Linked DNA regions of Danio rerio. The protein of the gene in region 2 interacts with the protein of the main gene of each other region in a pairwise test. Links are inferred from orthologs where the notes say so. Each region holds a gene or a part of one and is shown on either strand. Other genes may lie near its edges.

Region 1 (3,500 bases), on a different chromosome or scaffold from region 2:
ACACACACACTCTGACAAGTGTATTTCTATCATAGAGAGTTGGGTTCTGTTAGCGGTCCACCAGAGTCCTGGGCGCCTCTACAGTCTGATCAGGAGAAATACTACCAGCTGCCTCTGCCCAGAGAGAACGTCCACTTTGTAGAGACACTAGAGGAGGTTGACAAGTGCAGAGAAGCTGTTTTAAAGGTAACACTACTACTACTGTACCTTTAATATTATTTATTTAATAAGCTATGTTATGATCAGTGTTGGGTAAAGTTACTTTTCATGTATTAAAATCATGTTTCTATTTTAATCTTTAAAGAAAGTATGCAAAAACAACAGAACACGTACTTTCATATTACTTTTCTTAAAAAGTTATTTGAAAAAACTGACTCAAGATTGTAATATATTACATTTAAACATAAATTTTCCCAACACTGGTAATGATTTTTGTTTTTCTGTAGTTGAAATTGTGACGTGATATGCTACAAAGCAGTGATCATGGGGGTATAAGCAAAACCCATTGGGCAGTTGATGTTGAGAAGCTGAAAATAACTGGTTAAAATACCAATCAGATTGATGTCAAAATCTAAATCATTACAACACACATCTTTGGACAATACAAATCTACCCAAATCACCCAAGACCGCTATATTGCACATTGATACGTTTTTTTGTTCAAAAAGTCAATTGAACATTTTCGATACTCTCCGATGTTGTTTTTAATCCCTATGTCTTCGATATGTAAATGCAGTGCAACCATGTGATCAAACAAACGAGATTGAATGCGACTTTATGTTAGCAGATACAGATGCATTCTGGTTTCCACTATTTGTCTCAATATGTCATTATTTCTCAGTCGGGCTGTGTGGTTGGAATGGACATGGAGTGGAGGGCCGGTTTTGGCACAGTGTCGTCTCAGCGCGTGGCTCTGATCCAGCTGGCTGTACAGGATCAGGTGTTTCTGCTGGACCTTTGTGCTCACGCCATCAGCCACCACAGCACCACCGTGGACTTCATTAGGGCTCTGTTGTCCGACAAGAAAATTCTCAAGCTGGGTAGGAGAAATAATCTTAATTGAAGGCATAAAGTGTTTTGTGTGTGTGTGAATGCTAAGTTACGCGTAAAATGTATGATTGGCATCATTGGTCAGGGGGGTCTTATTTCACTGCATGTAAAAGTGTATGTGACAAAAAAAGACTTTTCATCTTCATCATCATCATTGCTACAATGTTTTGGTTGCATCATGTGACATCCTGTCCTGTTATTGATTTGTTTTGTTATTTTTGGGGTTGCATTATTAGAGTTCCCTCAAAAATGAAAAGTGCTGTTAAAAGGTTGTTCAGAACTAAGGCTAAGTTCACACTGCGAGGCTTAGTGCTCAAATCTGATTTTTTTTTTCCAGATCAGATTTTTTTTGCATGGCTGTTCACATTGCTCTTATCAATGTGGCCAATATTAGATTTGCAGTGCAAACAGCATGGTCCTAAACTGACTTGTCTATGCCCACAATGTGTATACTGCATGAGTAAGCACGTTGTCGGATCATGCCTATATGATTATTTTCCCTTTCACAGACAACCGAAATGTATTTCATGAACTGTAAAGGGTTGTTCTGCTACTACTAATGTGTATTTCAGAATTTGAGACCTAAAATAAGTCTCTTGTGATTGAAAACACTGATAATTTATGATTTATGACAACCAAGGTGTGAGTCTTTCTGACCACTGGTGTAGTAAACTCATCAAGAGTTTATGAGCAGCCGCAGACTGAACTGTGTAGAAGGAGTTGGTTGATCTCCGTTTGCAGAGTTTTTAAATTTTACTTCGTTATAAAAAACAGACACGTGCAGGGGTGTTGGGTGCTTAAGCACCTGCCCTTTTTTCTCTCAGAGAGAAAGTTCCCCCTCCTTTGCACACGGATCCCCACTCGCAACTCCCACAACGCTCTTTGGCTTTGCGATCAACCCGTGCCTCAATCATTAACCAGATTAGTTAAAGGGTCACGAAACACCAAAAACACATTTCGTATATGTGTCCCACACTACTAAAAACACTTTTAAGACACCTATATTTCACTAAAAAGTGTAAATTGGTTGTTTTAGCGTTATTTCAAGTAAATTCGTACTTCCGGTTTGAAACAAATTTTTGAAGCTGCGTCACGGTCATGACATAATAGCGTTGTATTCCAGCATGCAGACTGGACGTTTGTGCCAGAGTGTGTCTTATTACGTCTTACAGCCTGCTGCATTAATGCATGAGTAAAGCTTGGTTCAAACCAAGAGCGACCAGTGCTCTTTGTTTATTCAGTTTGTTCGTATCGAACTAAGTTAACTATAGCACCGAGTGTAAACATGTTAGCACCACAACCAAACTTTAACCTCGTGTAGGGTTTTTACCGCATTTAGTGACCGGAATAACACACTTTCTGACGCTACCTGCCGTGTGCATCTAAGTTTCCGGGAAATGCAGAGTTTTTTTTCTCTCATTCGCCGTGCGGTATCAAACATTACATGAAAAATACATGCTTAGAGCAGATCCTCGAATCAAATATCTCGTTTGTCGCAAGGGGCATGAATGAATTCCCTGAATGAAAGAGCCAATCTGCTGTTAAAGTCCAACATTTAATAATTTGGCAAATAATTCGACTACAGATGTCCATGTAGGTTAAACACCATCACTTTCTCCTGTGTGTTTATTTTGACTCTGAAACTCGCGCGTGCCCAAATAGACACTCCCACACCCTCCCACTTTAGTTCCTCCGACACTCCTCCCTAAACAGAGCTGGACACGCCCACTTTTCTGACTTTTTCCAAGAACACCCTGCTGAAACAAGGGGGTTTCATGGCCCTTTAACAAGCACCAGTTTTGCCTTTAAAATCTTTTTCAACATGAACAACCAACTTTCTGTAATACTGTAATCGCCTTGTGTGCCATTCTACTATGATGCTGAGGAGTGGAGGATGTTTGTAGCACAGAATGATGATGCATGTTGCTCAAAGATTATGTAAAAGTCACATGAAATCCGATATAACAGTTCACACCTAAATGTTTAGAGATGGTGTGACCAAAGTCCCTGTAAGCATTCTATTGTCTTTGGTATGACACAATGTGTACCTATGTGTGCGGTTGATGTACCCCTTGATGCTTCTCACGTCTTTGTTGCAGCACCAGTGGCACTGAAATTATGCACCAAAATTCATATGCTGATTCGGTCCTGTGCACACCGGTTACATAGGTACTGGTGCCATAATGGCACTGGGTTTTGATACCAAACCCTGGTGCTATTGGTCTTTGCTCGACTTTCTGTCTTTGGAGGATAAGCGAGCTCTCAGATTTCATCAAATATATCTTCATTTGTGTTCTGAAGATGAACGAAGGTCTCTGGGGTTTGAAACAACTTGAAGAGTAACTAACAGCAGAATTTCATTTTTGGGTGAACTAACCCTTTAATATAAGGGGTGTTGGCAGCATATGAAATTAGGCTGTTATGTGTACCTTTTTGACAGGGAACATATT
Region 2 (3,500 bases):
TTTCCATAGTATGTTTTAAATTATCCTTTGAGTAAATGTCTATGAGTGAGTCCTGAGCGTCTGATATGGCATCTTGTGTAAACAACCTCATCATGTCTTTTCATGTCATTCAGATTTCTTCAGATTTCTAAAAGTTTTCATCATTGTGACCCTCAAGCATAAACTGAGCTTGACTAATATAATGGAAATCTCATTTGGCTGATAAAACACATCATGTTTAGGGGACATATACTCACCGGAATGGAACTACCAGTGCCAGGCCCGAAGCGAGCTCCAGCATCAAATCCACCATCCACCATGACAGTGGAGCCAGGAGGGTACACGGGCCCCATCGGATAATACGCCATCGGGACACTAGAAGCCATGGCCCCCATTGGCACAGTCTGGGCATGCATGGGCATGTACATCTGAGTACCAGGGTAAGCAGAGGTCATCTGGGGCATTTGTCCAGGGGCTGGAGGGGGAGCCATATATCTGGGCTGATAAACCTGCAGGTAGGAGAGAAAACTATTTCAAACATTTGTGTAGGTGATAACAAAAAGTGTATAATTCACACTTAATATCAAGACTTCAATTGTTTTAATTGAAGTTAATTAGACTAATGAAAGACAATGGCATTTTAAATCTTAGTTTTGATTGTTTAGAGCAGAGGTGCCTAAAGTAGGGCCAAAGTTGGCCAATGGTAACCTTTGGTTTAGCCCCATCATCCCATCTGAACAGTAATGACGGTGAGTTGGTTGGGGTGAATGCCTTAGTTTCTTTGTTTAATTGAGTAGCTACCAAAAAAAAAGCCAACTAAAATGAAATGTTTCATATAAATGTTGTAAATGAATCAGACTTTTACTGCCACTTGACAGATAAAAGACAATGCACAAGACATCGGCAAGCAAATCAAGACAAAGGCCGAAGTAGCTCCACTAGTGTATTCAGCATTGAACACCATTGTCTAATAACTGGGATTGTTTGTTTTAACTGTAATAAGTTTATTATAACATGTTAAATCTGATACTGCATGTTTAAAAATGTTTAAAAGCAATGTTTTATTTTTATTTTTAAATATTAGCAAATCAATTAGGAAGTTTTCCATGGCAAATGTAATGTAATACAGTTTGGTATTTTTAACTTCGACCCACAGCCCTCACACCCCATTTACACGGGGCGTCAGCTGCAACGCTTCCCATTCACTTTGAATTAAGTAACATCAGGTGTTGCCGAACTGCATTGTGGACTCTTCGCTCAACATTTCAAGTGCCGACGGAAGCCTTAGCCAATCAGATCGCTGTATGCAAATACACCAGTTTAGACAGTGGCCTATTGCTGACTAATTTCATTGGCTGACGCTGCTATGATGATCGCATCAGCCCCAACTTCAGACACACCCTCTGTCAAGCGTTGACGCTGAAGCCCTGTGTGAATGGGGCATCAGTCAAGGTTTTGGGCCTTTTATAAGAAAAGTGTGTTTAAGCACCTCTGGTTAAGAGTTTAGTGCCTGCCATGACTATTAATTTTTAGAAATATCTAAATTAAATAAATAAATAAAACAAACAAATAAAGATCTGGTGTCACTAGGCATGGGACATTAACCGTTTTCAACGTTTACCGCAGTTTGGTAGACACCGTCAATTTTTTGCTATACCGTTCCTAAGGTATTTGTATGATTTTTTTATTTATATATATATAAATATATATATATATATTTTTTTTAGAACAACCATATCTCCAGCAGAAAAGATGTCCAACGTTGCTATTTTAAATGGTTAAAAAAATCAGTGTTTTGAAACAATTGAAGACAGCAGAGGTCAAGGATTCATTTAAACTATTCAGTCTGACATGTTTACTGCTCCAAAATATTAAGTGTTTCTCAAAATACCATATATTGTGTTCAAAGGGGAACCCAAACATTTAAAAGAATATATTTTAAAGCAGTAATGTCAATACCGTATTACAGTAAAACCGTGATATTTTTATCCAAGGTTATCAAACCGCCAGAATCTTATACCGGCCCATGCCTAGGCGTCACTTGATTAAAAATCACCTGAAAAACAAAAATGCCTAAATAAGATGTCCCAATCCCTCAAAATATACCCATATTTACTCATTTACATTTAAAAGTAAATTCATACCTCTTGATATTATGCATCACTCATGTACTGAGAACTGTAATGTAATGTGTTTTTTATTTAACGCCATGTTAGCAGCCAAGTCTATTTTCATGGCAAGAACATTTCAATAATAAATTTACAATTAAAAATCAACAAACAAATGAATATATACATTAAATACATTTTTACTTGATAAAAATGTAACATTTTTCCTGGTGTCACTTTGCTAAAAACGTCCTTTAGAGATTTAAATACATAAAAAAGTCTTCGGGAATCAAGAGGAAAAATGTATTTGAATGTGAGAGGAATTGCAGTATAATATACTGCGGTACAAACATTGAGTAGGGTCTTCACCTTTAAGCAAAAAAGCATGGGTTATTCTTGTACAGTTAAAGTCAGAATTATTAGCCCCCCTGGATTATTAGCCCCCCTGTTTATTTCTTTCCCCAATTTCTGTTTAACGAAGAGAAGATTCTTTTTTAACACATTTCTAAACATAATAGTTTTAATATCTCATTTCTAATAACTGATTTATTTTATCTTTGCCATGATGACAGTTAACAATATTTGACTAGATATTTTTCAAGACACTTCTACACAGCTTAAAGTGACATTTAAAGGCTTAACTAGGTTAATTGGGTTAACTAGGCAGGTTAGGTTAATTAGGCAAGTTATTGTAAAACTATGGTTTATTCTGTAACTATCAACACAAAAATAAATAAATGGCTTATAGGGGCTAATAATATCGAAAATGGATTTTAACAAATTAAAAACTGCTTTGATTCTAGCCGAAATAAAACAATTAAGACTTTTTTCAGAGGAAAAAAATATTGAGACATGCTGTAAAAATTGCCTTGCTCCGTCAAACATCATTTAGAAAATATTTTTTGAAAAGATTAAAAATTAAAAGAGCTAATAATTCTGACTTCAACTGTATGTCCAATACGACATCTGGGAAAAATCACCAAATCTAGTCTTAAAACTCTGTTTGAGGTTTCAGGTTGTATTTTATACAATTGATTTGTTTATGCATCCCACACTTTACTGTGAACACAAACAATTTTACATTAAAAAATAGCATAAAAAAGATTTTTTAAATAATTATTCTGCACACACCTGTAAATATTAAGTAAATTGTAAGTTGCTTTAGACAAAGGCATCTGCCAAATGCCTAAATGTAATTAGTTAACAAATGAGATGATGCTGTGACATGCTACTGAACTGATAAACAGAAATTCAATTCTGCAGTTGTATAAAGTCTAAATTTATGATTAGTACAATGTATTCATCAATCATTGGTATTCATTACTATTTATTTTTAAATTTACAATTAAATGTTATTTTATCACTGCAGTTTTAAATTAAGGTTTTAGAAACAACTCATAATAAAATCGCTGT
Region 3 (4,181 bases), on a different chromosome or scaffold from region 2:
GTAAGAAAATATTATTTGGTAAAATAACCCGGAATCTCAGTCACAAAAATGATTTGTTATTCTTGCCAACTGTTGATGTTCAACCGCAAAAACAACAACAAAATTTCTGGTAAATGTGAGGATAACAATAATGGGTGTGTATGGATGTTTCCCAGAGATGGGTTGCAGCTACAAGGGCATCCGCTGCGTAAAACATGTGCTGGATAAGTTGGTGGTTCATTCCGCTGTGGCGACCCCAGATTAATAAAGCGTCTAAGCTAAAAAGAAAATAAATGAATCATAACAATAATTCTAGTTTTTTTCTACCTTAAAGATAGATAGATAATCTTTTTCTACGTTTCCCAGTTCTGGGTTGCAGGAATGAATCTTTTTATATTAAGTGTAAATCAGTATTTATGAAAGCAACCTCAGTATAAGGTGTCCCATGGACTTACGCTGAAGTACCAAAGTCATTTCCAGAGAATAGAAAAGGGCAGAGACTCAAGGGTGTTACCATTTCAACCCAGTAAACCCTAGCGACCACATAAAACACCCCAGCAAACACTTATGACTTACGATAAATACAACATTGCAACTGTGGATTATCCGTAGGTCGGCACAAGGACATGTGTAAAGCTAAAACTGATGAAAATCTCTGTCTGTTATATAACACAATCCCCAGTCCCAGCATCCCTCATGATGTCCTCGCTCCGCGCAGATGAATAATGCACAACCATATACCAACTGTCCTCTCCAAGCATCTTACACCTGTTTATTGCGCACCACTTACTTACAGTGTCATCATCTGTAAGCTATGTGCCTCTTCATAGTTGCATTGTTTACAGCATCTCCATCAGCGTCAGAATGATCCACAATGACAACACACAAATATTTAAACACGTGTGTGTGTGTATGTGTGTGTGTGTACAGATTTACAAGGACCCTTAACTGAATAATGACATGGCTATGACCTATTCATACTCTATAACGATGGTTTACGAAGACATGACTTTTTTCAGCATAATTCAAAACATTTAAAATTTGTACTTATGGTTTTTTGAGATTCAGATTTTTCTGTGAGAGCCAAATAATAAGCAGTATAAAATACATGACGCCTATGGAGAGTCCTCATAGAGCGTATATACAAGTATGTATGTGTGTGTATTTGCATCTGTACACTGTTTAAGGCAGAGAGTCGGAGTAAAACAAAGAGACGGATGGAGGCTGAGAGAAAGAGAGCTTGCGGATGGAGGAGGGAGGATGAGTCGAGGGCTCTGATTGGTTGATTTCTTTGTTTTTTTTCTCCTAGTGAAAACGTGATCCAGCCTGCAGAGGCACTGCAGCAGAGAGAGAAAGAGAGAGAGAGAGAGAGATGTAAGAGTGGAAATACTCACAGAAGCTTGTACTGGTGAGTCAGAGAGAGTGTGTGTGCGTGTGTGTGAGTGTTTGCTTTCAGACAGAGAGAAAGAGAGGAAGAAATGGAAAGATAAATGGCCTCACTGGAAGATTTAGCAGAGAAATAGCAGAGCATACGAGTGAGAGGAAAAGGTGGAGAGCGGACGAATCCTCTTTCTGGCTGAGTGAATGAATGAGTGAGTGAGTGAGTGAGTGAGTGAGTGAGTGGAAGAGCAGGAGCATCGGTGGTCCTGAAGAAGAGCAGAAGAAGGAGAGAACGGTGCTTTGTGACGCATCTGACATCTCGTCCTCCATCTTTTCCATCCTCCACCCGCCCATCCATCCATCTGTCCTTCTTGGAAGTGTTTCTCCTCCGTGCTTTGGGATGCAACAGGAGCATCTGGTGGCCGAGAGAGGCTGAGATACAGCAGCAGATTTACAGGAACTTTGTGTCCCCATGTGAGAACCACGCCAAGATCTTATGAATCGACCTCATCAGTCATCTCAAATCCAGAGACCTGCCACGAAATATTCACTAGAGACAACTAAACACAGGTGAGGGTGCTTCTGAAGGAGTGTTATTGTAGCATGTTGACAGGAGGTAAATGTGCAATGTTATTTGAATGTTGTACGCTGTGAAGGTGCAGATTTTGTCTTAAGTTATTTTTATGGAATCTGCTTCTAAAGATTTTAACAACATAAAAAAAGATGTTGGTGTCTATTGAGGTTATATAATGAAATAACGTTTTGTGTGATTTGATTTGACAAATTCTTTAAGAAGTACAGATGTACATACAACATATTACATAATATGTACACTAGGTCAAAATATAGGTTTAATTAAGTTTTACATCAATCAAATATATGTGGTGAATTCAACTGATCAACTGAAAGGATGTTATAGATTGGAGTGTATTTTATATTTTTATTGTAAAAATTTAAATTGTACTATTGTAAAACTGTTCCTTATATCAAAATTACATATTGTATTTATATATATATATATAGTTTTAAATAATTTTATGTATATGGAACTGATTTAAAAATATAACTAATATGTAATAGATAATAAATGATATATTATTTCTTTTATTTATAAAATTCTAATAATGTTAAATTGTTATTATACAAAAATTAGGTATAATATTTAATTTACATGTTTTAATTAAATTAAATATTGACAATAATTTAATTAAATACAAATAATCAAAAGTATTCTATTGCATTTTTAATAATAATAATAAGAATAAGAATAATAATATTTAATATTATAAATAAATTATAAATGTAATTATTTATTGTAAATAAAATCGTTTACCTTATTATTTTGATAAAATATTAATAATATCTTATATATTTATTAGAATATATATATATATATATATATATATATATAATGTATAAAAATGTTATGTATAATAATGTATTGTAATATTAAATATTACAATATTACAAATATATTAAATAATAATAATTATTATAAATAATGTAATATTTTAACGATCATCAGTAGTTTTCTTTTGTATATATATCTATGTGATTTTGTAGTTTTTGAGTATTTTCCATCTCAAATTCGTCATATTTTCATTTTTCTGCATTTCCACATCCTCACTCAGGACATGTGCACTTCAGTACTTGTGTATATGTGTGCATGTTAACCATTTCTGCAAAAGGGCAAGATGCAATTCATAATCGCGTGTTCAACACAAACACAGATTCCATCAATGACTCAAATGAGTGGGAATCTGATCTCATGAGACTACTATACACTGACACATACTAACCGTCATGTGTGGTTAAGCCAGAAACAGACCTGTGCTTGAGCATGTGTGTGTGTATGTTGCATGCACATGCGCTGCAGTCAGTGTGCTGCGTTTGCTGCTCTGGTTGCATAACCGCCCCTCCCACGACACTGCACTAAAAACTGCTAACACAGATGATGCACACACTCCCAGAATACTGATAAGTGTTGAGAAAATCACCGCCAAACACCCAGAAGCCCCTGTTTGCTTCCTGGACTGTAGATTCAGCCCCTACTGTCTCAATGGGGATTCAGCAATCAATACTGTCTGTCAATAATTTAAAGGAGGACAGCAGATAAATGTGTGTGTGTGCACCTGAGCTCATCCCAACATCAGCTGGAAATAATGAGTTTGTGTTGGTGAATGTTATTGCTACTTGTTAAAAGTGTCACCAATTAGTGATGACGGTGTTGTTGTTTATCCTGGTTGGGGAAAAGTCCTCCAAAATGATCTATAATCATGTACTAAGATTCATGTTTAATATGAGGATTGAATCAAAATTTTGGTTCAAATTTGATTGGCATGGTTGTTGTATTACTGATTAGAATGTTTTCGTTATTGTTGTTTTTGTTGTTGTTTTATTAGACAGTTTCCAACTAGTATTCTGATTTTAATCCAGTGGGATACTTTTGGCTACGTATTATATCAATAATAATGTATTATTATTATTAATATTATTTTGGGAATAAGTAAATTCTAAAACAGTTTACATTGTCATTCCTTTACCATGTGGGATTCTGAGTTGGTAACATTTAATTAATTTTCAGTGTTTTCAATAGGATATTTGTTTAGTTTTATATTGGGGAAAAATAAGATTAGGATTAAATTAATATATTTCTAAATATTGTATATTTATATAAACTCAAATATTTATTATTTTTTATAAATAAATATTTATATTTATAATATTTATACATACTATAAATATTCCATAAATATTCAAATAATTTATTCTCTCTCTCTCTTTCTTTTTATAGTTAATATATAATTATACAGTTGATATAT
Region 4 (4,152 bases), on a different chromosome or scaffold from region 2:
TTTCATTTAGGAACACTCCTGAGATAAATAAGTTATATCTCCGTACTTAATTAATAAATTTATATGAACTGCTGCGCTTCCCACCTCCTTATTCAACCGCAATGACTTCTTGGACTTCTCGAGCGAGTTTTGCACTCAAGTATGCATCGACGCATCCTCGATGTCAAAAACACAGCCGGGAACTTTCTCGCGTCCTCTGTTTTACAGTCTTGAGTATAGGGTATATGGCGAAGCATGCTAATAGGACTTTCAATTTGCCAGTAACCTGGGTTAAGCGTTTCAGGCGAATTGTATGCCAATGCAAAAACTGGCGCGTTTAAGGTCTGTCATCTTTAAAATCAGCGATCTCCACTAGCTAAGTAATATCTGACATAAAGTGGGTCTCAGATTGTACAAGAAGCACTGCATTAAATGACATTTTACCCCGCCATGTCTTTATAATATGAGCATTTATTTTACCCCAGTATATTCAATGGAGCTTCTGCGCTAGCCTGCCGATTCTGACAGGCGCGTGCGAATAAACGACTTTGTCTCGTTTTGCGCTTGAGCAACTAAATGAATGCCAAAGTTTATTTAACTGAATGTATTTCAATGACATTACAACATTAATGCTGTGAAAGGAGCCGTATAAAATGGAAGAAAGTTCACAATAACAGGTCACCGGAAGTTCATCAATATGGGAAAAACACTAGATAGGCATATACCCTATTAGAACTGAACTTTGGCAGTTGATTATGACTTACACGAGAACACAAGATCACTGAAGAACACACATTGAGAAACAGCCATACTCAGCAGGACACCAGCCTGATATAATTAGGCATGGGCCGGTATAAGATTCTGACCATATGATTACCTTGGATAATCATATCACGTTTTCACAGTATAGTGATTACTGTTGTAAAATATTGTCTTTTTAAATGCCTGGGTAAAAAAAAATAAAACTTTTTTTCCTTTTGAACACACTATAATTTATTTTGAGAAACCTTTATAATATTTTGGAACAGTAAATGTGTCAGGCTACAAAAATTATTGACTTCTTCCGTCTTTTGTTTCAGTTTTTGTACAAATGAAAACAGCATCTTTTCTGCTGGAGATACTGTTGTCCTAAAATCAAACAAAAAATGTAAATAAAAAGTCTTACACATACCTTAGGAACGGCATTGCAGAAACTTTTGAAACCTTAACTTTTTCAAACTGCGGTATACTTTGAAAACGGTTATCATCCCATGCCTAGATATAATATATATAAATGTTCATACTTTTTTTGTATTAAAAAGTTCAAAGATTTAAGATGCTGATGATCATTAAACTGTCTTGTGAAAAGGATCAATAGCTTCCAAATTAATAATAAAAAAACCTAGTCAGAAATAAACAGAAGAAGAATTATTTGAGAATATATTAAAGGATAAGGATCTTAAGGATAACAACTTTTAAGGATAACAACGCAGCACCAAAACACTAAACACTTGTTATTGTAAATGTTAATAATTTCCCACAATCCTATTCCAAATGCATTTTGCAAGATACTTGTAAATTGAACTTCATTCATTTTCTTGTCGGCTTAGTCCCTTTAGTAACCCGGGGTCGCCACAGCGGAATGAACCGCCAACTTGCCCAGCAAGTTTTTATGCAGCGGATGGCCTTCCAACCGCAACCCATCTCTGGGAAACATCCACACACACATTCTCACACACACACACACACACACAATCATACACTTCAGACAATTTAGCCTACCCAATTCACCTGTACCGCATGTCTTTGGACTGTGGGGGAAACCGGAGCACCCGGAGAAAACCCACCCGAAGGCAGGGAGAACATGCAAACTCCACACAGAAACGCCAACTGAGCCGAGGTTCGAACCAGCGATCTTCTTGCTGTGAGGCGACAGCACTACCTACTGCGCCACTGCCTCGCCCTATATTGAACTTTAAAGGAGTTAATAAATCAATATTTGGTATTTTTTATTTAATTTTGGTGAACTGACACTGTTTCAATTCACTATAATCTTCTATGTGAAGCTACTTTGACACAATCTGCATTGTAAAAAAAAGCTCTAGAAATAAAGATGAATTGAATTGAATAAAAAAAAAAAAAAATCAATAACCCCGTTTTTATTGACCTTAAAAAAATGTTGGCTATTCTCAAAAAAAAAAAAAACACTTGAAATGACTCACAATAAGCTAAAAATTTGTTTGTTTGTTTTTTTAGAAATTGGGAGAAACAACAGCCTTTTATAGAACAAATAAGATATTAGCATTCAACTCGAATCCATACCTAATGATTGCAGTAAACCGAGAAAGACTGGCAATCCTTTGTTATTATAGCCAAATAAATTCAAATATACTTAGCTGTAGCAGTGTGTACATATAATATCAATATAGTATGTAATAATTTTAATAACTACATTTTATTTTAATGTTTTCCCCCAACCTCTTGTCGTACCTGATATATTAAACGTGTATATCTTTATAAACAACCATTGTGACTGTTTGTTTACTAGCAGTGTGTTGTCATGTCAAATCTATGAGGCGCCAAATACTTCAACAGCACATTGCGGCATATACTCAATGTGAATGAACAACCAAGTGTGTTGTCCGATAAGTAAACAAACATTGTTGGTGACATTATTTCGTTAAGTTTGCAGTATATCCACACTCAGCTAATGAAGTAATGTTAAAACACGCAGTCTACTTCCAGGCACAAAGGCCCGGATAACGCGGGTAACGTTAGACAAGACACAAAGACGCGAAGCTAAACCATTACCATTAATAACTTACCCGCTCCACAAACCCGGTCGAACCAACGAAGTTGAATAAACTGAACAACATTACTAGCTAAACGGAGCATGTGTCAACAGTGCGAGTGCTAACATTATAGCACAAGTTGCTCTATGAATGACCCCTTTTCTTTTTCGAAGCACTACCGGTGCAGCACTTCACGGGGAAAATGAACGTCAAAATAAAAGTCCTCAAGTCAGGGTAAACGTGCAACAAAATAGAGATGTTGCTAGTACATGGATGTGACATGGTACATCCGTATTTTTCTAAAAATTATGGTAAAAAAACGGGATGTTGCGAAGGAAATGTTAATAATAATGTGTTATTTGTTTACATGTGCTCTTATTGACACTGAACATACATTAGAAACATCTAGTATACTCAGAAACAGTACAGTACAAGATTTCATTCTCAGAAAAAGTTGGCATGTCTGTTTTCACTTGAAGAGATACAATAAACATCCTTTTATGCTGCTTTAAAAAATTAAATATCTGATCCTTAACAATAAATGTATAATAATAATAATAATAATAATAATAATAATAATAATAAACCTCTAAGGAGTAAAATCCATTACTTCACACAAAAATGTATTGGAACAACAGATATCTGGACAGAATTAGGAGTTTGGGATTAAAATAAATTTTCCAATGATGTAATTTTCCAACTTTAATATACATAAACTACTGCACAAGATTTCAGCATTTAATTCACATACAAGAGCCAATAATTCACTACAGCATGAGGGTTGTCAATAGTTTATTTTTTACATTAATGAGAACATCAGACATCAATGTTCATTTCCAATAATCTTATAAAGATTCAGTTGTCGACCAGGAATGCAGTGGGCACAGAACCTGGAAGAAAAAGAAAAGAAGGTGGTTTTACATCAAGCAAATCAACATTGGTGAACAGATCAAAACAGATATACTCTTACAGATTAGCATCACCAATGTATGACGTGTTTTCTGTAATTAATATTATGTACTAATTTCCTTTCAATAAAAATGAATGGTTTGGAAGAGATACTGAATTGAGATTTCTGGAAGTTCAATTAAAATAAACACCTTTGAATTGAAACGGAGCACTAAAAAATCCAGAATAAGTATTTTAAATCCACTAGATATGATAGGAATATGGTTAAAACTAGTGGTGTAATTGATCACAAATTTCACGGTTCGGACTACATTATGGTTTAGTCACCGATATGACCATTTTTCAGATCAGCCAAAAAGGGAAGGAGACAAATGTAATTTGCTTTCCATTTATTACCAAAACAGCACTGCAAGACAGCTTTGGTTTTAACAAACAGAACTTAGAAGCTTTAATTTTATCAAAGAAAAAAGAAATAATCAGCTGGAGAAAATAA
Region 5 (3,500 bases), on a different chromosome or scaffold from region 2:
AGCCTGAAGGACTCAGTTAGTTTGATCAGGTGTGTTTATTTAGGGTTGGAACTAAACTGTGCAGAGCTGCGGCCCTTTTGGAACTGGGTTTGACACCTGTGGCTTAGACTCAGATTACATTAAAACTAGTTGCTGTCAAAAGAATAGTCATGATTAATCGCATCCATTCATTCATTTTCCTTCGGTTTAGTCCCTTTATTAATTAGGGGCCGCCACAGCGGAATGAACCACCAACTTATCCAGCATACAGTATGTTTTACGCAGCGGATGCCCTTCTAGCCAAAACCCAGTACTGAGAAATATCCATACATTCACACATGCACTCACACACTTATAGCGCACGTGTTTGGACTTTTGGGGAAACCGGAGCACTCAAAGGAAACCCACACCAACATGGGGAGAACATGCAAACTCCATACAGTATTGCCAACTGGCCCAGCCGAGACTCAAACCAGTGACCTTCTTGCAGAGAGGCGACAGTGCTAACCACTGAGCCACGCCCCTAATCACATCCATTAAAATATTAAATATATTTTGTGCGTACTGTGTAAAATTTTGTGTATATAAATATATGCATCACTAAGTTGTATAAAATGTTTGTTTATTCATATATATATATATATATATATATATATATATATATATATATATATATATATATATATATATATATATATATATATATATATATATATATATATATATATATACACGTCTTAGTGCTGGGCTAAGATTAATAGCATTAAAAATAAAAGTTTGTTTTGATCATCCAACCAGGATTAGGTTATAGTTTAATTAGGGACTATAAGTAAAGTATCATTTACTTATGTGCCTTAGAAAAATCATTACTGGTGTCCATTGTAAGACTAAAATCAGACTTACATTTTTGTTTCGTCTGTGAAATTATTATAAGAGACAATTCCATCAAATCTAATAAGAATAAAAGGTCTCAAAGAAGAATATAGGAATCTAACACTGCACTAATAAGAATATAAGGTCATTTTGTTGTAGTATGGATTTCTTTAGCTATTTTAACCCATAGCTAACAGTCATTTTTTACAATTTTCAGCACAGTATATTCAGAATCTATATGCACTTTTTATTATTTTATATAGATAGATAGATAGATAGATAGATAGATAGATAGATAGATAGATAGATAGATAGATAGATAGATAGATAGATAGATAGATAGATAGATGTGTGTGTGTGTGTGTGTGTGTGTGTGTGTGTGTGTGTGTGTGTGTGTGTGTGTGTGTGTGTGTGTGTGTGTGTGTGTGTGTGTGTGTTTGTGTGTGTGTATGTATATATATATATATATATATATATATATATATATATATATATATATATATATATATATATATATATATGTATGTATGTATGTATATATAATCGCCACAATCGAGAGAATGTGGAAAACGGTATTGAATGTTACTTCATTTTCACCTTGGTATTTGTCTATTTATTGCCTTTTTATGATAAAAAGAGAATTATTTGAAACTTAATTATATATTATATATATAAATTTTATATTTTAAATCTGTTTTGTTCAAATGCACCAAAATAAATTGCCTATATTCTCTGAGAAATGAATACAAATATTCAATTTCAAAATAGGGTGTACTCAATTATGCTGAGCACTGTATATGCACATTTAAAATTTTAGTTTCTTGAGATATTATTTAAATATATACCATTGTAGGACATTATAATTAATTATTAACCTCACTAGAATTCATAATTACTCAGTTCAGATTTATAAAGCCTACCTATTGTACATATTTATGTTTATTTCTTACAAAACAGTATGATTATGTGGCAATATATGTTTATTAAAACACCTTTAACCCTGAGATCATTTTACAAAAGTATTTTTAATACATACTTATGTTCAAAATGACACATTTATATAATTTAAAAATCTCTCTTTGGGTATTTTGAGGGTTTTAAAGCATCTGATGAACATGTTTTTCTTTACTTAAACTATGTATTTCTGTAGAACCTTTTTATGTATCTTTAACAGATCAAAACAGCCCAGAATGCATCAGAGGCTTAAAATATTGCTAACAGTTGTGTTTATGCATTTGGCAGACACATTTACACTTGGTTAGCATTCCTCAAAAAATATTTATATAATGATATCAAATAATGACTGAGTTACCAGCAGAATCGGCTGATTTATTTGCTCAGAATATTCTGTTTTGCTCAAATGCTTCATGTCAAATAATAGACTGGAAATGTTGTTTGAGTATCAAAATGTATTATGATGCTACTATAGTGCAATTTTAATTTTACTTTACACCTTTGTAGCACTTATAATTATTTTAAGTTAGCTTTTATATGTACAGTTTAGCATTTATTTTAATAATAGTTTTAGTAATTAAAAAATATTCATTTGTTGTTAGATTTAATTTCTATGGCTTTTATTTATTTATTTTTATTTACTTAAATTGTTTTACTTATTAGCAATTAGGAACTGAAGTAAAATCAAGTCAAATTAATTAAATTAAATAAATAAAATTGCACAAGCTTGAGTACTAAAACATGCTTAAATAAATTGGTTAAATAGTAAAAGCTGTATGTAAAAATACAATAAAATGTAAATATTAGATAGATTCAACCGGCAAATAATAAAATAAAATAAAAAAATAACATTAAGCAAAGTTTTTCATTCAATTATTTTAAATGTATTTTAATTATATAGTGTAACATTTAGCGTAATGGTAGTAACACAGATTCAGTACCATAGCAAACACTGCAGTAATATGTACTGTGTTGGAACATACAGCACTGCACTTGTCATATATCTGTTGATTGTCAGCTGTGTGTGTGTGCTGTAATGTTTGTGTGTGCGTTTTTCTCCTTAGGGTGCTTATTTCACACAGCCGGTGTATGCAGCTCAGCCTCACGTCATCCACCACACCACCGTGGTGCAGCCCAACAGCATCCCCTCCGCTATCTACCCTGCTCCGGTGCCCGCGCCACGTTCCAATGGGGTGGCCATGGGCATGGTGGCCGGAACAACCATGGCCATGTCTGCCGGTAAACCACAAATAAATCATTACATAAATCCACACTTTCTGTCTGATCTTCCTATTTCATGTGTATTAAAATCACAACAGCTGGAAAAATATAAAGTAAATATATATAATTATTTTATACAAATAAATATATATATACAGTTGATGTCAGAATTATTAGCCCCCCTGAATTGTTAGCCCACCTGTTTATTTTTCCCCAATTTCTGTTTAATGGAGAGAAAATGTTTTCAACACATTTCTAAACATAATAGTTTTAATAACTCATCTCTAATAACTGATTTATTTTATCTTTGCCATGATGACAGTAAATAATATTTTACTAGATATTTTCAAGACACTTCTATACAGCTTAAAGTGGCATTTAAACACTTAACTAGGTTAATTATGGTAACTAGGCAGGTTAGGGTAATTAGGCAAGTTATTGTATGGCGATGGTTTGTTCTGTAGACTATTGAA
Region 6 (4,290 bases), on a different chromosome or scaffold from region 2:
CATCAATTATTGCATTTTAACACGGTCACAAATGTCTATATGTATTTGTTTGCAGACATTTTGTTGGTTTGTTGAACTTGAAGCTGACTGGCTTTAGTGGCTAACATTGGTCATAGATATTGTGGTTTATGTTTAATTTAAAATTCCAAAACATTTCTAATGTTGTAATATCAAGGCCAAAAAACAAAGAAGCATTCAAAATATTTTTCTTATTTGCCTTTTTATTTACTAATAGTTTTAGTCATAGTCATGCTAAATTTCTGGGCTTATGAAATAACAATTCACCCATAAATAATGCTATTCTGAACGTATAATAGAGGTTAAAAGGGAAAAGGGTACTTCTTAGTTCACTCGAAAGTAAACATTTACTCTCTCAAAAGGTTCCAAACATTTTTAAGTTGCTTTATTCTGTTAAATACTAACAAATCTATTTTAAAGCATTAGTGTAAACCTCTAACCATATGCTATACTCAGGGTTCATACACATTTTACTACTAAAATTACATGACTTTTTCATGACTTTTCCAAAACTTTCAGGTGAATATTCATAATCTAATGTTTCATTTAATGTCCACATACACTACATGTAAAAATCGAATTTATTACAGCATATCAAAAAATATGACAATCTGTGTATAGCCTTGTTTATTATCTCTAAATAAGTTTTAGAAAAGTATCTGTGTGACAACATTTTAGAAATGTTGGCGTGTGTTGTCGTAAGACTTAAGAATAGTACAAATTAGCTTTTTATGCATTATAAAACAATTACAATAAGGAATTCGAATAACAACATTCATCTAGGCTATTTATACAACAGAGCACAAATAATTATCAAATCAATAAAATAATAATACAAAAATGCACTTAAACCATAGAATAAACACACAAACACAATTAATGAAAGAAAGACAAATTTACACTGGGTTTAGCATCCGCAGTTAGAGTTAGCCCTGCAGTTAGAGATGGTTTCTAGACACCAATCTCAAAAATGTAGCTTGAATTACGACGAATGCGAGTGAAAGAGAGCCGAAGCTGAACTGCGAGGTGCTTTTTTTCCACCCCAAACAGAGAACATAACCCTTCAAGCATATTAACCCTTTAAACATATTTAAGGAGATGGATTTTTGTTTAACAAATTTATTTCAAGGACTTTTCCAAAATATTTTAGGTTTATTTGTTTTTCCAAAGCTTTTCCAGGCCTGGAAAATGCCTTGTCAAAATTCATGACTTTTCCAGGTTTGCCAAGATCGTATGAACATTGAATACTACAGGGAAAACAAACACTATGAAGTAAGCAATGTTTTCAGCTGTATTTAAAATATATTCTTCTGTGATCAACTGAATCTCAAACAGGTTTGGTAAAAGTAAATGATGACAGAATATTCAGTTTAGGGTAAAGTTCTCACAAAACTCCGAGTCCCATGGTTCTTGGTGATGTGCTCGTGCACGCTGAGAGGCAAAGCGCGCGCCCGTGGAAGTGAGAAGCGCGTGCTGAAACTGAACCGTCAATTACTGCTCAACCACGACAATAAACGCTGCTCAAATCACCATCTGCGGGCGACGAGCTTCAAAAATGGGTAAGAAGTGATGTTCGCTGATATTAAACTGTTACCGTCAATGCGGGATAACTTTATAAAGTCTAATACTAACATTAATATTGAACGAGCTCAGCTCGTGGCTATTTTAAAGCTTTAAACAAGATGTAAATCTCCGTGAACTGGTTTCCAGACAGACAGTAAAATCAGAGTAGACTTTAATAACGAAGTCAGAGTTGAAATGAAGCCAAATCCCACGTGTATAAGGTTAAATGTCCTAACATATTTATTTAAGATATTATTTGTGCTATAATGAATTGATGATGGCGATACATCTGAAATTACTTGGCTATTGAAATTATTTTATTGACTTGAATTAAAACGTGCATATCTTTTTACTAGTGTCTAGTATATTTTTAGAAGAATTTTTAAGAAGCAAACGTCTGTATAATATTGTTTATTATCTATTTAGTAATGTGTATTGTTGTATATATTAACTTATATGTATATATAAACTTTGCATTAGCCAGAAAGCTAGAATACGATTGATATATATATATATATATATATATATATATATATATATATATATATATATATATATATATATATATATTTAGTATAATTTATGTAGAAAAATGTTGATATACATTTAATTATCGATGATATACATGTTTTATTTAACAGATTTTTTGCACATTTTACAATTAACTACAGAGAAATAGCAAGTAGCTCTGTATTAAGCGTGACATTTTGATTTAGAAAGTATTATCTTGTAGGATTTACTACACTAATATGCTTTTTTTATTTACACCTTCAAAAATACATTTTACAGTAGAGTTATAGAAACATACTAGTCATATTAATGAAAAAAAAAAACATTTATTTTATTGGTAAGGATTAGCAATACGGTCTCATTTGTTAACAAATAGTTAAACACAAGTTTAGATGTTTTAGCAGCGAATCGGTACATGTAATGAACAAAAATGAATGTAAATCCAAGTATTTTTCATTGCTAGTTCATGTTAACTAATGCAACTCACTTTATTGTGAAGTGTTACCATATTATTAATGGTAAGTGGCTTGACGTTACAGCTATTTCTGTCATTTTGAGTAATTTGAATGACAGTAATAAGAACTAGATATGAGTAACCATAACAAGTTTTGCTCTTTGAGGAAGTGGTTTAGAGAAATAGCACCACATTGCTGTTGAAGCGTAAAATCCCTCATCAGATATACAAACTGATGCGAATGAGCCTTGATCTGCTTCATGAAAGAACTTTTCAGTTTAGGAAACTTTATCAAGCATCACAGATTTAAGGATAATTACCATTCAGTGTGTTCTGATGTCACGAACAAAGCCGTAATTGCGTAATGACGCGGTCATTGTGATGTTATCACACTTTCTGGCTTTGTTTTCAGGACAAGATGGTCAGTGCAGGAAATGGTAGACTTGCAGACAAGAAAGCCGCAGTTTAATCGTAAAGTTTGAATACTGAAGCTGACATATTTCTGAGTGATGCGGACAATAGTTGACTCCCAGAAACAATGCAGAAGTGTAGCAGTGATAATATCAGTGTTTTTTTGCGCTGCGGCTCAGAAGGGGAAGTCGAATAACAGCAGCCTGTTGAACTGCCCTGGCACAGGAAGCGTCTGATCTCGAAAGCCAAGCGTTTCTGGATGTTTCAGACACTGATGCGAGAAGGGGAAGTGGAGACTTTAACCCATAATTCAGTGCTGGTGCGGTTTGTCAATAAGATGCTGTCAGGTGCCTGATGGTCACATTGTGTTGCTGCTGTTCACACCAGAACGCCTGAACACTAGATGGCTTGATATGCATGCTTGTGGCCTCATATTTGGCCACAGACATGGTTTATGATATAAATATATGGCACATTTCTGAGACAAAATTCTAATTATCATATATAGTCAGAGTAGTTTATATTTAATTCAATTCATCTTTATTTCTATAGCACTTTTACAATGTAGATGGTGTTAAAACAGCTTAACATTGAAGTTATAATAAATTTAAACTGTGTCATTCCAGGTTTCAGAGTTGAAGTTCAATTTAGTGTAGTTTAAATGGTACTGCTGAAAGTCCAAACAATGAGGAGCAAATCTAATCGATGCACAGCTTCACAAGTCCCAAACCAAGCAAGCCAGTGGCGACAGTGACTAGGAACAAACTTCACCAATTGACGAAAGTGAAGGAAAGTCTCTCCTTGAGAGAAACCAGGCTCAGTTGGCACAATCATTTCTCCTCTGGCCAAACTTCTTGTGCAGAGCTGCGGTATATAATATGTAGTAAAGACTACATTTGTAAAATATTTTAAATTCAAATATATCTTATGTTTTATTTACTAATTTCTAATAACTAATTTCTTTTGTCTTTACTACAATCGAAAATTATTTGTGCCTCTTCACTGCTAAAAATCCCATTTTTACTTAGATTTTAGTCTCGTGTCTTGTCCAAATATCTAAAAATTTTTAAATCAAGATGCATTTTCTAGACAAGCACTGAATATTGTCTTGTTTTAGGGAATAATATGTCAAAATTAAGTGAGTTTTTTTTCAATAAAACAAGCTAAATAATCTGCCAATAAGTTAAGCAAAATAATAATATGTCTAAAGGAAAAGCTTGCTTACTCTGTTTGCAGATTAATTAGCTTGTTTTAAGGAAAAACTGAGTAAACTTTGACTCATTATTTCTGAAAACAAGACAATATTTTTAGTTTGTCTAGAAAATGCTTCTTGA
Region 7 (4,143 bases), on a different chromosome or scaffold from region 2:
GTGGTGCAGTGGGTTGTGCTGTCGCCTCACAGCAAGAAAGTTGTTGGTTCGAGTCTTGGCTGGGTCAGTTGGCATTTCTGTGTGGAGTTTGGATATCTGCTGTAAAACATATGCTGGAAAGTTGGCAGTTCATTCCACTGTGGTAAAAATGGGGACTGAGCTGAAAAGAAAGTGAATGAATGAATGTTGTCTGTATCAGTTTGGTTTTAGTGGTTACAGCTAGGGCTCTGTATGCACAGCTAGAGTGTTAAAACCAATGATAGCCGAAACTTCAGGTAAATTTGACTATTTATAATTTCACAAGGTTGTTTTACAGTATCGATGTTGTAATTACAATACATTCTGTTAAATAGACTTAAGCATTCATTTAGTTGTTCAAGATTAAAACGAGATGAAAGACCGTGTAGCCGCTAGTGCCGTCAGTAGCAACAGGGCTAGCACAGCAATTCCATTGAAAATTCTGTGGTAAAATAAGCTGTCATATGTTTAGGACATGGTGGGGTGAAATGGAATTTAATGCAGTGTTTCTTGTCTGATCTGAGACCCATTTCATATCGGATATCTAACAGGCAGTGAATATTGTTGATTTGTAAAGAAATCAAAACATGGCAATTTTGTAGACAGTGTACCGGAGGCCCTTGGGCTGCATGGCTGAAAATTAAAAGTCTGTGTGCATATAGACTATTTAAAGATTGTTCAAGGCGTTTCAAGCATTGCACTTTTAGTGAAATAAACAACAACAAAATATATGATGCTGTCCTTGAGACATCCCTGTACATCAACAAGAAACACGAGCGGATGTGCGCAGTGTCGTTTCTCCCCGCACGAGGGCGCAATTTCCCACATTCTGGAAAATACACAAAGAGGCAGTAATTCACATCACTGGACCTCGAACATCACGACCGCAATTGTCCATCTGATGCTAGATTTAGTTGTGTGATCTTTTAAATGCTCAATGTTTTAACCAGCACATGTCTGTACACGACAGAGGCCGTGCAGTGAGCAAGCGCAGCTGATAAGAGTAAACACTCAAGTGTAGAGATTGAGCTCGATGTGTGTCTCTGATTCTGCGGGAGGAAAGTTGGCTGTCAAGAACCAGCGAATGTGCACCGGGGAATATGGTGTTTTCATGTGAACAGTGGTTCAATGCTTTTTTCCTCTTCCTGGTAAGATTAGCGGAAGCCAGCAGTCTTGTAGCGTTTTCTCTCTCCATCCGCAGCAGCCGGTTGTGACAGACAGCGATTCGCTTCCCGGTGTATCTCAATAACGGACAAACATCTCATCATCTCCTCCACGGCTTTGGACTATTTATTACCAAGCAGTTAGATTAGCGATTTCTGAAGATGACAGGCAGATCAGTCAAAGACATTGACCGCTATCAGGCGGTTCTCACATCCCTTCTCACGTTAGAGGAAAACAAGTTTTGCGCGGATTGTTACGCCAAAGGTAAGATTCGTATTTCACAAGAGCTTTGCATTAAGCAGTTCTTACTTCGGTTTTATGTTTCTTCTGTTAGAAATAGAGTTTATTGTGCAGTTATGTTCTGTGTGTAGGTTAGGCCCTGTGTTTTTTACATCATATTGTGTATGTGTGTGTGTGTTCATATTCGAATCTTGAACGAATCGTTCGTTTGAACCGAGTCTTTATCGACGAATCAGTTGCTGGGCTTCCTCAAAATCATCCTAATGATTTTATCTCATAGACATTCAGGCCCGTGGACAGCCTGGAGAAAGGGTGGTTCTTTTTTCTCAAAAAGTGGACCTTTTGCAGTTATTCGCCTCGTTTTTTATTTAATTATAAGATTAGGTGACATTTTAAATCGAGGTAAAGTTGGTTTTACATTCGCACTGTTGATCAGTGACAGTTTGTGACATGCTCCCTATATTGTTTACCATGGTACTTTGAATATTCAATCTGAAAACACGTGTTCGTATGACTGCTAAACAATAAAAGCCACATTTAACGTTATTTGACGCTGATTCTATGTATGTTGTGATAGTCATTGGCTGCTAATATGATTCCACTATTTAGAATTTGCAAATAATATTTTTCTGAAATGATATTTGTGAGGAGAAATTCTGAATGTGTGAATGTAAAACCAACCTCAACACATTTTAAACACCTATTTTTAGCTGGATTAGTTTGTCGGATAATCATCATAACCACACTTTTTGTTGTACCAAAACATTTCCTATATAATTAGAAAAAAGAAATATGACATGTTTATTTTTGAAATACTAGTTCAAGTTCAATTATTTATAAAGCACATTTAAAAACAGCCACAAGACTGACCAGAGTGCTGTACATTAGACAAAGTAAAATAAAAAGACAGATTATAAAAACATAAAATAAGCCAAGAGAAACGACTTTATACATTTGAAAAAAAGAAGCAGTAGAAAGGACTATTAAAATAATATAAAAAAATACAAATTTATTACATCATATGTCATTAGAAAAAAAACTGTTTTAAATTTAAATTTGTCCATTTGAATAGAAATTAAAACATAATAATAATAATAATAATTTAGTGACTCACAATTTATCTAGCCTCTCTTGTAAAAGTGCTTTACTTTTTTTAATTGGTCCTGTTTTCTTTCTATAATAAGGTCAAAGAATAAAAGTTACTTGTCAAATGTTTTCTCCATTTAAAAACAATACAGTAGTGAAAGATGACTTTGCTTGTGTCAGATGTTTTTTGCACAGCTGGATGTTGGACTCATGAAAAATAATTGTTTGCATTGGCCAAAACTGAAGTCACACAAGAATTTCGCATGGTCTTAAAGCCTTTTTCGATTGGTTATTTTTACTATTTATGATGGCATAGCAGTTAAGACAGGACAAATGAGCTCATGTATAGGACAAATTCTGGACCTTTATTAGAGAGGGGTGGGTCTTGCAAACCCGAGCCTGGCTACGGGCCTGACATTGCTGTCAGTGATTTTCTAAAATCTGCTTATACTTTCTCAGAAATAAAGGTACAGGAGCTTTCTCTGTGGCAGTACCTTTTCAAAAGGTACTTATTTTTACCTGAAGGGTCCATAATGCTACCTCAAAGGTACTTTTTATGTACATTTGGGTACTAATACTAGAACTAAGTCTGACTCAACGCCAAGGACAAATAATGTACTGCAGTAAACATTAAAGATTAGTTGTGCTAATCTCTTTTATATTGTTACAGTGAGTGAATTTTAATTGAATGCAGGGCCGGCCCTGTACATTTGGGGGCAATAAGCAGAATAATTTTGGGGCCCTACCTTGCTCTAAATAGTGGAGTATTGCCATTGCAAACCAGCCCACAATGATTTTATTGCTTAATAAGTACAATCAATGACACAGAAAAGTAAAGTCTCATTTCTACTACTTAATAACTGTTCGAATGATTTGGACATTTTAAAACAGCACTGTTCAACTAGCAGCTTCAAAAAGGTTGTGTTTGTTTTTTTTTGTTTTTTTTATATATAAATTCCAAAAGCAAAAACTCTGCTATGAGTCGACAGTCAACAATACTAATCCAAAAGTGAAAATGCATTACTTAGTAATAAAATATACATTCTGAACTCATTAAAAACTCAGAAATCACATGACATTCACACAAAAACTATTTCTGCTTTAATAAAATTATGACTTTTTTTCTTTCCAGTGAAAATTTATAAACATTTAAGTACTAAAGCAGTCAATCAAGATAATCTGTACAATGCAAATAAAAATGATTTCAGCAAAGAAATGGCTCGTACCATCAGTGGGGGCCCCTTAGTGGCAGCGGGGCTCTAACCAGCCGCTTAATTCGCTAATAGTAAGGGTCGGCTCTGATTTATTGTGAATACAAATTGTAGGTTCTAACAGGGGCGGATTTGGTGTTTTGGGGGCCCTAAGCAATTCTGACTATGGGGCCCAAAAGTTTTAAAATGCACTTTTTGTACTTTAATTTGTTTTTGTACTGTTTATTTTTCTTCTACTACTCAATCTCTTTTTCTACATTTTGTCTTAATGCAAAATAATAATAACATGTAAAGCGTCTTGTAAAACCTTTTAAATTATTTGTTTTCTTAAAACGAATTCACAACTAAAAGTGATAAAAACTATTTCGCTTTTAAAACTAAATCTTTACCTCATTTAACTGCCTGGCTGCTTTATGATTAGAGA

The links.
Region 1: the proteins of dazap2 (region 2) and exd3 interact in binary tests that used the Homo sapiens proteins (3 or more experiments, as listed by UniProt). The two-hybrid records come from large-scale screens. The link is inferred for Danio rerio from reciprocal best matches to the Homo sapiens genes DAZAP2 and EXD3.
Region 3: the proteins of dazap2 (region 2) and si:dkey-106l3.6 interact in binary tests that used the Homo sapiens proteins (3 or more experiments, as listed by UniProt). The two-hybrid records come from large-scale screens. The link is inferred for Danio rerio from reciprocal best matches to the Homo sapiens genes DAZAP2 and RNF208.
Region 4: the proteins of dazap2 (region 2) and zc3h10 interact in binary tests that used the Homo sapiens proteins (3 or more experiments, as listed by UniProt). The two-hybrid records come from large-scale screens. The link is inferred for Danio rerio from reciprocal best matches to the Homo sapiens genes DAZAP2 and ZC3H10.
Region 5: the proteins of dazap2 (region 2) and fam168a interact in binary tests that used the Homo sapiens proteins (3 or more experiments, as listed by UniProt). The two-hybrid records come from large-scale screens. The link is inferred for Danio rerio from reciprocal best matches to the Homo sapiens genes DAZAP2 and FAM168A.
Region 6: the proteins of dazap2 (region 2) and arid5a interact in binary tests that used the Homo sapiens proteins (3 or more experiments, as listed by UniProt). The two-hybrid records come from large-scale screens. The link is inferred for Danio rerio from reciprocal best matches to the Homo sapiens genes DAZAP2 and ARID5A.
Region 7: the proteins of dazap2 (region 2) and smap2 interact in binary tests that used the Homo sapiens proteins (3 or more experiments, as listed by UniProt). The two-hybrid records come from large-scale screens. The link is inferred for Danio rerio from reciprocal best matches to the Homo sapiens genes DAZAP2 and SMAP2.

Annotation. Positions count from the first base shown.
Region 1 is NC_133185.1:11,585,442-11,588,941, reverse strand, and holds part of exd3 (exonuclease mut-7 homolog), read left to right. Parts: intron 1-35; coding exon 36-186; intron 187-841; coding exon 842-1,040; intron 1,041-3,500. UniProt on the Homo sapiens protein: Possesses 3'-5' exoribonuclease activity. Required for 3'-end trimming of AGO1-bound miRNAs.
Region 2 is NC_133198.1:36,680,357-36,683,856, reverse strand, and holds part of dazap2 (DAZ-associated protein 2), read right to left. Parts: intron 489-3,500; coding exon 237-488; intron 1-236. UniProt on the Homo sapiens protein: In unstressed cells, promotes SIAH1-mediated polyubiquitination and degradation of the serine/threonine-protein kinase HIPK2, probably by acting as a loading factor that potentiates complex formation between HIPK2 and ubiquitin ligase SIAH1.
Region 3 is NC_133185.1:21,972,072-21,976,252, reverse strand, and holds the start of si:dkey-106l3.6 (RING finger protein 208), read left to right. Parts: upstream 1-1,381; 5' UTR 1,382-1,929; intron 1,930-4,181.
Region 4 is NC_133181.1:54,969,636-54,973,787, reverse strand, and holds the start of zc3h10 (zinc finger CCCH domain-containing protein 10), read right to left. Parts: upstream 2,801-4,152; 5' UTR 2,784-2,800; intron 1,583-2,783; exon of another isoform or gene 1-1,582. UniProt on the Homo sapiens protein: Specific regulator of miRNA biogenesis. Binds, via the C3H1-type zinc finger domains, to the binding motif 5'-GCAGCGC-3' on microRNA pri-MIR143 and negatively regulates the processing to mature microRNA.
Region 5 is NC_133193.1:4,904,518-4,908,017, reverse strand, and holds part of fam168a (protein FAM168A), read left to right. Parts: intron 1-2,870; coding exon 2,871-3,045; intron 3,046-3,500.
Region 6 is NC_133183.1:62,209,681-62,213,970, forward strand, and holds the start of arid5a (AT-rich interactive domain-containing protein 5A), read left to right. Parts: upstream 1-1,490; 5' UTR 1,491-1,573; coding exon 1,574-1,577; intron 1,578-4,290. UniProt on the Homo sapiens protein: DNA-binding protein that may regulate transcription and act as a repressor by binding to AT-rich stretches in the promoter region of target genes.
Region 7 is NC_133194.1:41,012,919-41,017,061, reverse strand, and holds the start of smap2 (stromal membrane-associated protein 2), read left to right. Parts: upstream 1-1,343; coding exon 1,344-1,446; intron 1,447-4,143.